Linked DNA regions of Diceros bicornis minor. The protein of the gene in region 2 purifies or fractionates together with the protein of the main gene of each other region. This does not show direct contact. Links are inferred from orthologs where the notes say so. Each region holds a gene or a part of one and is shown on either strand. Other genes may lie near its edges.

The links. The genes of interacting proteins can lie anywhere in the genome.
Region 1: the proteins of CHM (region 2) and RABGGTA purify together in Homo sapiens (co-immunoprecipitation; 4 studies listed by BioGRID and IntAct, counting the BioPlex papers as one, with this or other methods). This does not show direct contact. The link is inferred for Diceros bicornis minor from reciprocal best matches to the Homo sapiens genes CHM and RABGGTA.

The regions. Positions count from the first base shown.
Region 1 is NC_080744.1:23,742,719-23,750,443, forward strand, and holds the start of RABGGTA (geranylgeranyl transferase type-2 subunit alpha), read left to right. Parts: upstream 1-4,681; 5' UTR 4,682-4,751; intron 4,752-4,931; 5' UTR 4,932-4,985; coding exon 4,986-4,988; intron 4,989-5,152; coding exon 5,153-5,263; intron 5,264-5,641; coding exon 5,642-5,766; intron 5,767-5,956; coding exon 5,957-6,144; intron 6,145-6,364; coding exon 6,365-6,568; intron 6,569-6,867; coding exon 6,868-6,951; intron 6,952-7,039; coding exon 7,040-7,122; intron 7,123-7,211; coding exon 7,212-7,313; intron 7,314-7,418; coding exon 7,419-7,524; intron 7,525-7,617; coding exon 7,618-7,669; intron 7,670-7,725. UniProt on the Homo sapiens protein: Catalyzes the transfer of a geranylgeranyl moiety from geranylgeranyl diphosphate to both cysteines of Rab proteins with the C-terminal sequence -XXCC, -XCXC and -CCXX, such as RAB1A, RAB3A, RAB5A and RAB7A.
Region 2 is NC_080781.1:78,471,830-78,479,534, forward strand, and holds the start of CHM (rab proteins geranylgeranyltransferase component A 1), read right to left. Parts: upstream 3,095-7,705; 5' UTR 3,092-3,094; coding exon 3,043-3,091; intron 1-3,042. UniProt on the Homo sapiens protein: Substrate-binding subunit of the Rab geranylgeranyltransferase (GGTase) complex.

The sequences.
Region 1 (7,725 bases), on a different chromosome or scaffold from region 2:
TCTTGGCCTTAGTCTGGGTCAGGTGCCCCTTGCATGGGCAACCGACTCCTGTGCTACTCTAGGTCGCCTGCTGACATGTCTGTCTCACCCATGTGGCCTGTCCTGTCCAATGCTAGCCACTAGCCCCATGTGGTTATTTAAATTTAAATTAAATTAAAAATTCATTTCCTCAATTACACTAGCCACATTTTGAGAGCACACTCAGTAGTCATGTGGGGCTAGTGGCGACCATGCTGGAGGGCGCAGATACTGAACATTTCCACATCACAGAAAGTTCCAGTCTAGCACACCACCGCACTAGACCGTAAGCTCTGGGAAGGAAGAGACTGAATTTCTGGTCCCACACTGTATCCCTGGCACCTCACGTGCTCTCAGGCCCAGCTCTGATGCTAAATAAATATCAACAGATTGAATGAATACACATGCTGCCACACCGTGCCAGGTCCAGAACCAGCTCTGGCATCTGTCTCTTTCTCACTCTTCTACCTCCAGACCATGGCTTCTAGCCAAGCTCTGAGGGGCCCCTACCCAGGGCTCATGGTCTCTTTCCTCCCTCCAAACCATCTCTGGTCCATGACTGGCTCAGGGTCCCAGAGACATTGTAAATGTGTATGTGAGTGCGTGCGTGTGTGTGTGTGTGTGTGTGTGTGTGTGTGTGGAGTGGAAGTACAGAAAGGATTGGCAGGGGAGGAGGTGATTAGCATGAAACGACACCGGGGTTCCAGGCCTCGAGAAGTTCAAGTTCGAGCCTCTGGCAATGGCCACGCTCACCTGTGCGGTGGACAGACACCCAGGCTTTGGTTTGAATTCTGGCTGTGTTTCCTCCCAGCTGTGTGACATTGGGCAAGCAACTTATCCTCTGTGAACCCACTGTATGCATTGTTTCCTCACTGTAAAATATGGATAATAATACCTACCTCATAGAGGTAGTGAGTGCGTTAAATAAGATGTCTGGGGCTCAGTCAGTACTCAATTATTGCTTGTTCCTTTCTCTACATAGGAGGCAGTAAAATCCCTTCCTCAAACATCATTCAGATCATGGCCCTCAGACACCTGCCTGGTTCCCACTTATTCCATACAGGCGGCCAAATATAACTCCTGACAGCTCCTTTTGCCTTAAAGCAAGAGGCTCGTCATTGGTTCCATTGCTCTTATCTCCAAAGGCACCTGGCTCAGCTTCTGTCTGCCAGCCAGCTGAGTCTGTTTGGCTTTCTCTCCCCAACCTCCACGTCATCATTCACGCCTGAAATGCCCTTCCCGCCCTCTTTTTCCAAAACCAGGCCCTTCATTCTCTGAAACAGATTTCTTCATGAGACTCACTTCCTCTCTTAAGCTTGCTTGACTCAGCTTCCCTGGTTTCAAGATTGCTAATCACTGAAAAATATTTCCTGTCTACTTCAGCCTTTATCCCCCGCTCCCTCCTCCCTTAGTGACTATGATGTAAGACTGTTCTTGGGAAATCTACACCTGTGGGAATCTACATTCCCAGGTATCTGGTTGTACATGTGATTGTTATAGAGCAGGAAGCAAGAGCAAGCGGTGACCAAAAAAAAAAAAGCAGTTGGTGAGGTGGGAGGGCTGGACCAGAGCAGCCACAGGTCCCATTTGGCCACTTACTACATGGGTGGCCCTCAGCAAGTTACTGAACCTTTCTGACCCTCAATTTCCTTGTCACAAGATATTGTCACAAAGATCAGAAATAATATTATCATTACTACTATTACTATTTACCTAGCCTTTACTATCCTAAGCACTTTACATAGATTCTTTTATCTCATCTTCACTTCAACCCCGGCAGGTGGGTATTATTATTTTTTCTATGTTACTGTTTAAGCAACTAAGACACAGAGGAAACACAACACAGAGGTTAAGTACCTTACCCCTGGTCACAAAGCTAATAAGTGACAAAGCCAGGATCTGCACACAGGCAGCCAGGCTCCAGAGTCCACGTTCCTAACTACTCTGCTTCCTGCCTCCCACGTGTAATCCTGTGTGTGTGTAAAGCTCCTGACACAGTGCCGGGCACAAAGATAATAAAGCAGTGGTGTCATGCTTTGCTCACTGGGACTGCAGGTACACGAGGCCAGGAAAAGTGTCTCTTTTCCTCTGTACCCTGGTACAGGGCCTAGGAAAGGACAGAATAGAGGGTAGGCACTTTACACACATTTCCAGGGCCCGAGAAAGGTGTGGAAGAACTCTAAAGAATTTAAAGCCATACTTCCTCACCCGGATGTGAGTTATAAACATACACACACCACATGGACACACACGTCTCACAAATACATCACGCACACTCACACATACACATTCACTGGCCACCTTGAACCCCATGAAGGCTCCACCAGGAAACCTTCCTGAGCTGGTCCAGGCCACACGATCTCTCCCACCCCTGAATGCCAACAGCGCTCACTGTTAGGGCCAGCCAAGCCAGCCCTCACTATGTGGTGTTTTGTTTATTCATTCAAATAACTACTAGGAACCAGGGCCAGGTATTGCAGAGGCAAGACCAGAAAAGTGTTGTTTCTGCCCTAAAGGAACTTTGAATCTGATAGGAGATGCTGGCATACCACCCAAGACTTACAGTAGGCACGGGGAAATAAATCCTATCTTTGACAGCACATATGAAGGTCTTTTAAACCAGACTGGGGCATTTTGGAGAACTTCCTGGAGGTGACACTTGAGTTAAATCTTAAAGATGAACAGGAGTTACCCTGGCAAAGGAGGCGTGTGGAGGAAGGAGAGGCAAGAAGTGGGAACAGGTTAACATGTTTGGGAAACTACAAGTTGTTCTATCGGCTGTGATGAAGAGTTTTTAACAGGGACAGGCAGGACATGAGGCCAGAGGGGTAGGCAGGGCCCAAGCGCCAAAAGGCCTGATGTGCTAACCTGAGAGATTCAAGACTGTCCTGAAAAGCTCTCAGGAGCCGCGGAGGGCTTTTAGGCAGAGATGTGACATGATTGAATCTGCATTTTAGAAAGATCAATCCAGCAGCACAAAGGACGAACTGATAATAGAGGGGACAGGGTGTAGATGAGGGAACATTGAAAAGACTTTCAACAACCAGGAGAAGAAATGAGCTTCAATTCTTAGTGCACAGGGAAGGGAGAGGGCATTTAAGAGATAGTAAGGAAAAGTGAGGAGGGAATAGTGCCATTCACTGCAAGAGGAAAAGAAAAAGGCCAAAATTTAGACTGGATAGAAGGGAGACAATGATACCTTTTGACTTTCGGAGTTCAAGGCGTCTCTGGGACACCCAGGAGACAAGAGCTTCTCACATATTGAGGTATATGGGGTAACTATTGGGGTTCAAAACGGATTTGGCTTGAACTAAAAAGCCTGACTTATGGCCTATCAAACATACATTGTACATCTGCTTAATGATTAAAGTAAAGAATACACTTTCTTAAGACAAGAATGCATACTTCCCCTCCTAGGCCCTATTGGTAACGCCTGCATTGGTCCCTTTCCTGACATCACGGTCACGTTGACCTGCTAATTTGCAACTGGATACCTCTTTGAAATTTTGATGAAAACATATCCTGGGTGTGTTTAATGTACGTACTTTGTTCTAAAAAGATATAAGACTGTACTGAAAACCCCACTTCTCCGGAATGCTGTCTAAGGCCTTCCCGGGTTATAATCCTCACTCTGGCTCAAGTAAACTCACCTTATTTCTCTTATCTATAGAATGGTTATCGGTTATTTTGTGTCTATACAGGTGATATCTAACAGGCTTTTGAATATGTGTGGGCATATTTATAAAACATATACAACATATATATGAATATGTGTGTACATATCTATGTGTTCATTATTAAAGCTAGCAAGACATCTGGGCTGGAGATACAAGTTTGAGTGTCATCAGCTTACAGGCAGAAATTAAAACCGTGAGCGTGGGTGAAGTCACCCAGAGAAAGTGTGGGCCAGAAGACTTTTGTGGGCCCTGAGCTCTGGGGAGCTTCAACTCCAAGCAATTGAAGGCTTGCATTTGTGAACGTTCTCCCAGGAACAGCGTGTGAAATGAAAAGAGGATGAGGAAAAGGCCCTGGAGATCACCAACATGTAGGGCAAGAAAAGATGAAGAAAAGAGAAGAGAAGGGCAAAGGTGCACGAGGAGAAGCCAGAACAAGGTGTCAAGTCAAATAAGGCAGTAGCGTCAAATGCCCCAGAAGTCAAGGAAGATAAGGACAAGAAACTCCGTCAGTTAGATTTGGCAACTAGGAGGTGGCCACTCCGGCCAGAGTGAGGTCAATGGAGTGGGGAGGGCGTGGGTTTCCAGCTGTTGGAGAGATCTCTTCAACTAACTTGCACTTGGAGCAGAGAACTGGAATAGCAGCCCCGCAGCCTCCACGCGCGAGCCATACTCGCGCATGCGTACTCGTACACAGCAGAGGGCTAACGGGGACTTCGGGTTTTCGACAGCGCGCGCCGAGACCCCGCGCACGCGCCTCCGGAGCCCGCCTACTCCGCCGCGGGCCTCTCCCCAAGCCTGCAGAGGGCGCTGCACCTCGGAGAGCCGGGGCGTGGCGGCGCTCTAGCCAGCGGCTGGGCTCGGTGGCGGGCGCCGCAGCTCCGCGTCCCCCACGCCTCCTCCCAGCGCAGGTGGGTCCGCCCGCGAGGGGCGGGAGTGTCTGGGAGCCGTGGGGCGGGCGGGTAGCGGCAGCCTCTGGGCGCAGAGTGGTCCCCATCACCCAAGTGCCCCGGCTCGGGTCCGGCCCCAGCGGGTCGGGCTGTGGGCAGGGCCGCACGGGTACAAGTCCCATGCGGGTGGGAGAGCCTCCTCTTAGCCGTGCGGAGCCTGTTCCGGCACCCATTCACACCCCGGGGGGTGGGGGGGGTCTCCGCCGAGGCTCGCGTGGGGCTTCCGGGGGACAGCTGGAGGCGGGGCCGTCGGGGGCGGGGCTCCCATGATTGACACCTCTCTCCCCAGGTTTCCCGGGCTACCGCTGGACCCCTCCCCTGTCCTGAATCCTGAGCCGGCACCATGGTGAGAACCCTGAGCCCAACCCCTCGCCTTGGAATGCCGGTGCCCTCGCCCCGTTTGGCCTTGCCTCGGTTGCACTATATAAACCTGGGACTCCGCAGTGGGGGGTTCGGTGGGTCTGCCCTTGAAAGGCAGCCTGCACCCTTCCAACCCGCCCATCCCTTTAGCACGGGCGCCTGAAGGTGAAGACATCGGAAGAGCAAGCGGAGGCCAAAAGGCTAGAGCGGGAACAGAAGCTGAAGCTATACCAGTCAGCGACCCAGACGGTTTTCCAGAAGGTGGGGCCCTCAGAGGTAGCCCCCTCCCCAGGTGGCCTCCTTAGTATAGCACAGAGGCTGAGAGCTGGGCCTCAGAGTCAGACTGCCTGGATCCATATCTGGGTTCTATCACTTACTAACTTGTATGACCTTGGGCAAGTTACTGAATCTCTCTGGGCCTCAGTCTGCTCATTTGTAAAACGGGGCTAATAATTGCACTTACTGTGTAAGGCTGTTGTGAAAATTAAGTGAGAAAATACATGTAAACCCTTAAAGCACTTTGCATTGTACCTATTGTATAGTATGGGATTCACAGAATATTCGGTAGCTCTGTTTATGTTATTTAGCTCTGCAGTGGGAGAATGTTATGATCTCTGACCCTGCTACCCGTCTTCTCAGCGCCAGGCTGGGGAGCTGGATGAGTCCGTGCTGGAACTGACAAGCCAGATTCTGGGGGCCAACCCTGACTTTGCCACCCTCTGGAACTGTCGACGAGAGGTGCTCCAGCGGCTGGAGGCCCAGAAGTGCGTGGGGTTCAGTGCCCCAGGAAGGCAGCCCTGGCCCTGCCCCTGCCCTGCCTGGGTTCAAGGGTAGAGGAGGAGTGGGGCAGCCAGGGGCAGAGGCAGAGAGCAGTGGAGGGCTGGGTGTAGAAAGGCAGGGACAGCTGAAGGTGGGTGTTGGAGGGCCCTGACCTCCAGTCCCCTCTGGGTGCAGGTCCCCTGAGGAGCTGGCCGCTCTGGTGAAGGCAGAACTGGGCTTCCTGGAGAGCTGCCTGAGGGTGAACCCCAAGTCTTATGGTACTTGGCACCACCGCTGCTGGCTGCTGGGCCGCCTGCCAGAGCCCAACTGGGCCCGGGAGCTGGAACTGTGTGCCCGCTTCCTTGAGGTCGATGAGCGGAACTGTACGTGCCTGTTCTGTCCCCACAGCCCTCAGCTGCCCCACATCAGTAAGGCCCAGAGTGGGGAGGGATGGCCAGGATAGGCCCACTGAACTGGTGGCAGAAGGGATGGTAGAGCCAAATGCATCCTCCATGGAGTGCATAGGGGTGGAACGCTAGGGGTACCAGCCAGGGAGCTCCCCCTGCCCTGCTTCTGAGATGTGCTGTCACCCCTCCCCCCCAGTTCACTGCTGGGACTACCGGCGGTTTGTGGCTGCACAGGCAGCTGTGCCCCCTGCCGAGGAGCTAGCCTTCACTGACAGCCTCATCACCCGAAACTTCTCCAACTACTCCTCCTGGCATTACCGTTCCTGCCTCTTGCCCCAGCTGCACCCCCAGCCAGACTGTGGACCGCAGGGGCGCCTCCCCGAGGATGTTCTGCTCAAAGGTAAGCAGAGTCAGGGGTGCTGGGGATGACTCTGTAGCCCATCCTCCAGCCCTGAGGCCTAGCTCTGTTCCTGAACCTGCCTCTTGGGTTTATTGAACACCTACTTCATGCCTGGCTCTGGCGGTGCATAAGATTCAGCCCCTGGCTGCAGAGAGCATAAGTGTCCAATGGGGAAGATAAAACTGATGTATGCAGCCCCTGTGCAAGGCCAGCGTATACCTGAGCCTGAGGGCTGGAAGTGCTCCAAGGACAGGGTGGGATGTCCTGACCACAGCCCCGTGCCTCCTTGGCCCCTGCAGAGCTGGAGCTGGTGCAGAACGCCTTCTTCACTGACCCCAATGATCAGAGTGCCTGGTTCTACCACCGGTGGCTCCTGGGACGAGGTGAGCAATGGAGGAGGAGGCTGGGTGTTTAGGGCTTGGAAGGAATGGAAGAGTATTTACGGAGACCTGAGGCTGTGTCTTCCCCCAGCTGACTCCCAGGATGCCCTGCGCTGCCTGCACGTGAGCCGGGACGAGGCTTGTCTGACTGTCTCCTTCTCTCGGCCCCTCCTAGTGAGTCCTGCAGCTTTTGCTGGAGAGCATCCTGGATTGTGGGCCTGGTGCTGTTGGGCTGATGGGTCTCTCTTTGTCCCCTGTGCCAGGTGGGCTCCAGGATGGAGACCTTGCTGCTTATGGTGGATGAGTCGCCCCTGGCTGTGGAATGGAGGACCCCAGATGGCAGGAACCAGGCCAGCCATGTCTGGGTATCCTAGGATTGGTGGGGCATTGTGGGGGGCTGGGGCAGGGCTGGGGTGGGACAGTCAGAAAATGGTGAGGCCCGGGGTGTTTCCTTGACCCTGTGCTCCCAGCTCTGTGACCTTCCCGCTGCCTCTCTCAACGACCAGCTGCCCCAGCATACATTTCATGTCATTTGGACAGCAGGCGATGCCCAGAAGGAGTGTGTGCTTTTAAAAGGTGATGCGACCTGCACTCTGCACCCCTTGCAGCAGCCCCCCTCCCTCCCCTCCTCTCATGGCGTCCCCTCCCCCCACCTCCTCTTTCTCTCAGGCCGCCAGGAGGCCTGGTGCCGGGACTCGGCCACAGACGAGCAGCTCTTCAGGTGATGACAGGGAAGCACACGGACAAGGAGAAGAGCTCTGGGCGTCAGGCATCTGG
Region 2 (7,705 bases):
CTGAGGGGATTCCCCCGTGTAAGAAGCATTCCGATATTATCACATAGCTCTTGTCATTTCCATCTTGCCTGCCCTTCTACTGAGTTGTTGGCTCTGCTGCAGATTACACAGGTCGCCAGATAAGTCACCTCGGGTGATGTGTTATGTTACTGGGACTATTTTTAACCTGAAGCCAACGACACTTCTCTACAACCCACAAAACTATCATTCAAATCTTTTTAAATGACAAAATGTCTTTAAAATGACAATTGTGTACCCAAACTGAAGGCCACTTTGTAGACACTTATCACATATCCATTTGTGTCTTCTCCCTTAAGACTCAGTTGACCCTCCTTCCTTATTCCATTTTATTCCATATTTTCCATGGTTCAAGTACTTTATCTTATTCCTCTGCCTTTGGGTGTCTGAGAGAGATTTCCTGCATTTTGTAATCAAGAGGAAATGTGCTTAACTAAGAAAAGACACACAAAACTTTATTTTCTCATAATCTCTTCAAAACATGATCTTCAGGAAAATCTTGTTATGAAAAATGAAAAGAAATATATTAATTAAGGTCAAAGGGATCTAAAATATTATCCAGAGATTTTACTGATGAAGCAACTGTCTTGATGACATTTTAACTAGAACTAAATCTGCTAAAAGAAAAATTACATCTCATAGCCTATTTCTTCATGTTTCTGATACATGCATGATTAATTATGCTTTTGTTGGTAAAACTGAATCTACGAAACACTGCTTTTCTTATGATTTACTCAAGTTAGTACATTTAGTAAAGCAAACACGTTTTAACGGCTACTTTCAGCAAACTATTTCAGAAGAGAAATAGTCCAAACACATTAAAAATAATTCCAATTAAGTAATGATTGGAATTATTGGAATCATTTATTTGGGAAATGACTTTCATCCAATTTTTCCAATGTGACGAACCTAAAAACAAAGCTCCATATCATAAATTTAAGCAATGTGCTTGATAAACTCGGAATGTGTTCAACATGGAGTGATATGAAAACCTTAACTTTTAAGATCAACTTCAAATAACTTCTTCCCATGCTTTGAGAAACTACGTTACTCTCACTGGAATAAGTCTAAAATGAATCTTTTTCCAAATACACGAGATGCCTCTTGAAGCCATTTTCTGTATCACTCACAGTATCTTCCTACCTCTATTATAACAGACTCCAATGGAATGGCTGTAGTCCATATTATGAACAGAACCAGAAGGCAAAATTTATTATAAGAATTAACAGCATTTAATAATAAGAATTAGCACTCATCAATTAAAACTTGAATCCAGATAACAAAAAAGTCTCAATGGTTCAAAAAAAATTTTAAAACACCCCAAATTCCTAGGTAATAAAAAAGAAAGGCAATAATATAGATCCCAAGTATGGTATAACAACTATTCTAAAATGGATGTTGTTCTTAGTTTTAGGATAGACTGGATAAAATAAGAGAATAGTCTATTGGTTCCTTCCAGCTCTCATCCAACATCTGTATATAGCAGCTACAGCCAGGTTATCTGCACCCATGCAGTTTTCAGGTTGGGAATAAACATGTCCTCGCTGTTCTGAGAACAATTACCCAGGTGCAACCAGAACAAGAGAATTTTTGGTCAGACAACATCTAAAAGGCTATCTAGTTGACCCTCCCTATATTCAAAAACAAGAAAACTAAGACTCAGAGATTAAGTGCCTAGTCCTAGCAATTCACACAGCTAGTTAATGGCCAAGCATGGTCTAGAACAAAGTTTTCCCAATTATTTCTACTCATATGGGTTAACTCTGAGGGTCAAAACCACTGTTTCTCCTAGAATGGAATGGGCCTTTGGAAATTTACCAGCTGTGTGATCTTGAGCAAACTGCAACATTTCTAAGCTCCCTTTTCCTTTTCTGTAAAGTGTAGAGAATACCTACTCTAACAACGCTGTTGTGAGGATTACATACGGCTTGTAGAGTGCTTAGCACATAGATTAGCAAACAATAAGCATTCAAACAGGTAGCTATTATTTTTACTCCCGCCCTGGTAACATGGCTGCTCCTACTGTTTGAGAGGACAACGAACTAAACTCATGAACACAATGGTCAGGGTCTCATCCACCAGACCCTCTCCGGCCTACCACATTCTGCAGACAGGAGAAAACTCCACCCAACAACCTATTTCATCCCATCTAAAATCCACTCTACACTGTTAAGAAAAACAAAATACCAATTGCTGCCAAATGTCTTCTGCCACGAGTTGTACGTGGAATTTGTCAACTAGAAATTGCTGGGGGTTTCTGACACCACCCAAAACATGGAAAATAAACGATGGGAAAACAAGGGAAAGATAAGGTCACACACCTGAACTGGAACTAACAGCAGCTTGTTCTCAGCTCATTTCGTTGTGGGTAGACACGTGGGTGGTAGAAGGCAAAATGCCTTCTTTCAGCACCATAAAGCAGGAATAATGGCTACCTCAACAAAATACAATTCCCTAAGCTTCTCAACACAATAGAAAAGAATCCGTTTCCTCACCCCAGTGAATTAACACGCACAAGGGCAACAACTGAGCATCTTTCTCTGAAAACTGAGGATTAAGCTGTATCTGAGCTGCACTGCACCCTAGGATTATATAACTATATGAAAAATTCCTATGCAATGGCGAGACAAACTGATCGGGAATAGCACCTTGAAATCAACAAGGAGGGAATCATAATGTCATGCCAAAGGCGTCTCCACTGATATAATCCCGACCCTCCATTCTCATGACACTGCAAACCCACCTCCCTCTAAGTAAATTACAGGAATCACCCGCAGCAACCAACCTCAGCAATCGGCATCGACCAGATCGACCCCTACTCAAACGGCGCTAAGCACCGCGGGTCCAAGCCCCTCCCTGGAGCTGCAAAGTCCCGCGCTGATTCCAGACTACCTCACTTCCTTTCCGTCCTCCCTCCTATACTCGATCCTCGGCATTTCTCGCCAATCCTCGCCACTGACAGAGAAGGTAGGAACGAGATAGACTTCCTACACTTTGTCCGGGGAGTACCAGAGCCACACATACCCGTCCCTATTACGATCACATCAAACTCCGAAGGGAGATTATCCGCCATCTTGACAGGAAACGTGTCATGTGACTATTGCTTGTGGAAATGAGATCAAATTAGGCATTGCTTTGGTAGAAGGCGGAAGGGAAAACAGTGCATTCTGGGTATTGTAGTTCCTGGGTGGCAGGTCCAGGTAGGCGGCTACAGCATTATATTTGAAATGTTTAGGCGAATATTAAAAGCTCGATTCATTTTCCAGGCTGAGTGCAGTAGCACATTTAGCTTGGAGGTTTGGAGTAGAAAAAAGATGTAGATTTTTACTCCGATGAATGTGGGAAGACCTGGATACCCCTTGACAATGATGAAGCAAGAATTGCTAAGAGACACGGAGGGCGGAGTGAAATTGAAAGAGGATTGCTCTGTGAACAAAGGAAATTTTCATTCCAGCCTGGAGACTGTTTCCCCCAGTGTGTCTGTACTTTCTTTTTGGCCCGCGAGGCGTAATTTTTCACACAATACTTTCAAAATATATCCCGTACTTTTTTTGTCTGTGTGTCTCCCCAGTGAAAACTCACAAAAAAACCTCTCGCCCTAGTTTCGCCAGAATGGAACCCTTGCCGTGTCTGTATTTGTTCTAGTTAGTCCAAACAGCCACGCTGGCAATATATATTTGCAAAATTAGCCTTGCTTTACAGGAGGGAAAAACATATGAAAGCATAGTATTTGCTTGATAAGCGTTTATTGATTCTGAATCTGGTTTTCTATACATATACGAGAAGTCCGTACAAGATTCTCCTGATAAGCCACCGCAGAAATAATCAAGGTAAAATGGCCTTTATATTAAACTGATTGCATTTGATGAAGGGGCTTAGATTGTCTATGCGAAGCAGCTAACATAGCTCTCATAAGTATTTTCAAGGTCGGCCTCCTCCCACCCCCTCCCCCCACCACCCCCCGTCATTTAAAATGCTTTGCTGTCTGGCAATACCAAAGCAAAAAAGAAGGGAAGGGTGCGTGGGAGTGAGGAAGAGTACTTTTTTGATCCCAGAAATTCATTGTGTAGTTATTTTGCAAGAGTTTCAAAATAATTCAGAGAGAGAGTGCAGTAGTGGACCTTCCCTCACACCTCCTGTCCTCTGAGCTGTTTGTGGTCCCCCAGTCACACTGTTGTTCCTTCAGCATGGAATAATCTTCCCATTCTCTAGCTAACATTTATCCCCGAGATTCAGCTCGGCTTCCACCACCTCCTCCTTTTATCTCCTCCCTATATTGGGTTAAATTTCTCTATGTAGTGCTACCACTCTGTCATAAACTGCCATATTACACTGAAATTATTTGCGTTTATCTTGGTTCCTATACAGTACACATATCCCCAGACATACTCACAAAAATACACATCCAGATATACAGCGTTCTAAATTATAAGCCCCTGTATGATAAGGACTGTGCCTTATTTATCTTTTTACCCCCTGCATCTAACATAAACCTGGTGCAGAGTAGGGATTAAATAAGTGTTTGCTGAACTGAGCTTAGTTCTGACTTCTCTAATACATGGTAAGTACTATGGAGACAGGGACTTAAGTCTTCACCGTGATGTCTGCCAACTACTATGAGGTATCTTATATTCTGAAGATGCTCAATGCATGTTTGTTACTTTGCTGAAGTTCCATGAAAATTCTTAAAATTGTATTTTAATGGGTTTTTTTTGCCTCATTTCATTGCATTTTGCTATAATCATTAGCAACATTGTGCATGTTTCATTAATTTCTTTTATAGATTATCTTGTTATATTGAACAATTCTCTTGTGATATGGTCCTCTGATGAATATTTTGTGTAAAAGAGATTCCTCTGAGAAGTGTAATATATTGTTCAGTAAACCACTCTGCCATTTGCTTTGATATGAAAAGAAAGTTTTGAGTATTATCAAAAGTGAAATAGATCTTATCTGTGAGACTCTTAACACCACCAGTGAAAATGGAAATTAAAGATTTCCCAAGGTAGACACAAGAAAGTTTCCAAAATCTCCTCTAACAGAGAGAAGCCATAGATGGGTGGTTAGAAGCATGATAAATAAAAGTATTTCTATCTTATTTTGGAGATATATGTGTATACATGTGTACGTGTATATATATATATATCCTTTTCGATATGAGTATATCTAACTTTCTATGGATTCAGAAATTTTCTAACAAATGCAATCACACTGTGAAGACACAACTCATTAAATTCATTCAATTTTCCTCAAATATTTATTGAATACCTACTATGTGCAAGGCACTGATTTAGACACTGGGATTACAGGAATGAACCTAAAAGACAAAAATCTCTGTCTTCATGAAGTTTATATCTAGTGAAGTAAAAAACAAAAATAAACAAGTGATTACTCCGTAGTACTAATTTTCCAATATGTTTTGCCCCAAATTTGAATTCCCTTTTTTCTGAGGCTGGAAAGCACAACTCTCAGAAAGATAAAATTGCCAGCCCATATTTAGCTTCCTTTCTCTAAAGTTATCACACACTCGCTGGGCATGGAAAAGATTATTACATTAGAAAAATTTAAAGCCTCTGCATGGAGAAAATGCTCAAAATACCTTTTCTTTCAAATGTATTTTTGTAGATTTTTTGCAAAGTAAACATAAATATAGGAGTTGATAATATCAGTAAAATATCATAAAGCAAAACAACTTAATTTCTATATATTCTATTATTCTAAGGACATCTATTTTTGAGAACTGAAATATTTTATTTGGATAAGTCACAGTACAATAAGATGATGGATACCTACAAATATACTACCCTATTCAATCACTGTGACACTAATTTTGTACTTGATTTCCTGAGTTGAAAAACCACGATTCTATGAACATTTACCTTGTATTTAGAAGTTTACTCAACTGTGGGATCTGATGTATCATCGTTTACAAACCAGTAATTTAATAGTCTCTATCCCTGGCCTTTCCTTTGAGTTCCAGATCCATATACACAACCCCTTACTCAACATCTCTTCTGAACGTGTTGAATACTGAACTCCTGAACAGTTCAACCCCGCTCCCAAACCTCTTTTTCCAATGTTATTTACCTTGGAAATGGTACCACTTTCTAGTCAGTTAGCTCAAGTCAAAAACTTAAGAAAATTATCCTTGATATATCACTCTATTTCACCTTTAAGCCAATTAATCAGCAACTCTTGCAGATTTATCTCAAAGCTATATTGTAAATATATCTACTTCTCAATCTAGACTGCCCCATAATCTCTTACCTAGACTACGACAGGAGGTCTCAGCTAGAGCCCTTATTCATGCTTGCTTCTCTCCAGTCCGCTCTCCACACTGCAGGTAAACTTTTAAAAATTCAAATCTTATCATGTCCTCCTCTACCTAAAGCCTTCGTGATTTCCCATTGCTCCTAAAATATACTCCAAAATTTTAAACATGGTCTAAAAGACCCTGCTGAACTCTGCAGTCTCATCTCATACCTCTCACCCTTCTCTCTCTAAGCTCCAGCCATATTGGCTCTCCTTCGTTTCCTCTAATACCCCATGCTCCTTCCTGCTTCAGGGACTTCAGAAATGCTCTTCCGTGTGCCTGAGGTGCACTTTTATCCTTCTTCCCCCTTTCTCCTAGCTTAATCCTACTCATGTTGCAGTTCGTTCAAAACATCACATACTCTGCTGTCTGCATTGAGTCCTCAGTCTACCTTAGGTCTCCTATCACCCTGTACTACTCCTTTGTTGAACTTTTCATAATTGAAAATATAAAATCACTTATGCAATTACTTGTTTCATATCTGCCATCTTCCTAGAAGGTAAGTTCCACAAAGGCAAGGACTGTGCCTATATTATTCATCGTTATATTCCCAATACATCATTCGGTGCCTGGCACATAATAGGCACTCAAAATATCCACTGAAATCCTACTTCTGGGTATATATTCAAAGCAAATAAAATCACTATCTTGAAGAGATATCTGCAGTCCCCTGTTCATTGCAGCCTTATTCGCAGTAGCCAAGATATGGAAACAGCTTGTGTTCATCGACAGATGAATGGATAAAGAAAATGTGATGTATAGATATATAGATATATATCTATATATGGAATATTATTCAGCCTGTAAAAAGAAGGAAGTCCTACCATTTGCAACAACATGGATGAATCTGGAAAACATTATGCTAAGTGAAATAAGCCAGACACAGAATGACAAATATTGCATGATCTCACTAATATGTGGAATCTAAAAAAAAAAAATTTAAGTCAACCTTATAGTAACAGAGAGTAGAATGGTGGTTACTAGAGGCTGTGCGTTTGGGGAAAAGGGGAGATATTGATCAAAGGGTTCAAAATTTCAGTTATAAGTTGAATAAGTTCTAGATACCTAATGTACAGCATGATGACTATAGTCAATAATAATGTATTGTATACATGAAATTTGCTAAGATTGTAGGTCTCAAGTGTTCTCACCACACAAAAAAATGGTAACTATGGGAGGTGATAGATATGTTAATTAGTTTGATTGTGGTAATCATTTCACACTGTATACATATATCAAAACATCACATTATACACCTTAAATATATATAATTTTTACTTGTCAAAAAAATAAGTTTTTTGAAAAGCTGCTGAATGGACGGATGAATAATAAAGTATAGGAAATCTTCAGGAAACAACACATTAGTACTTCTAA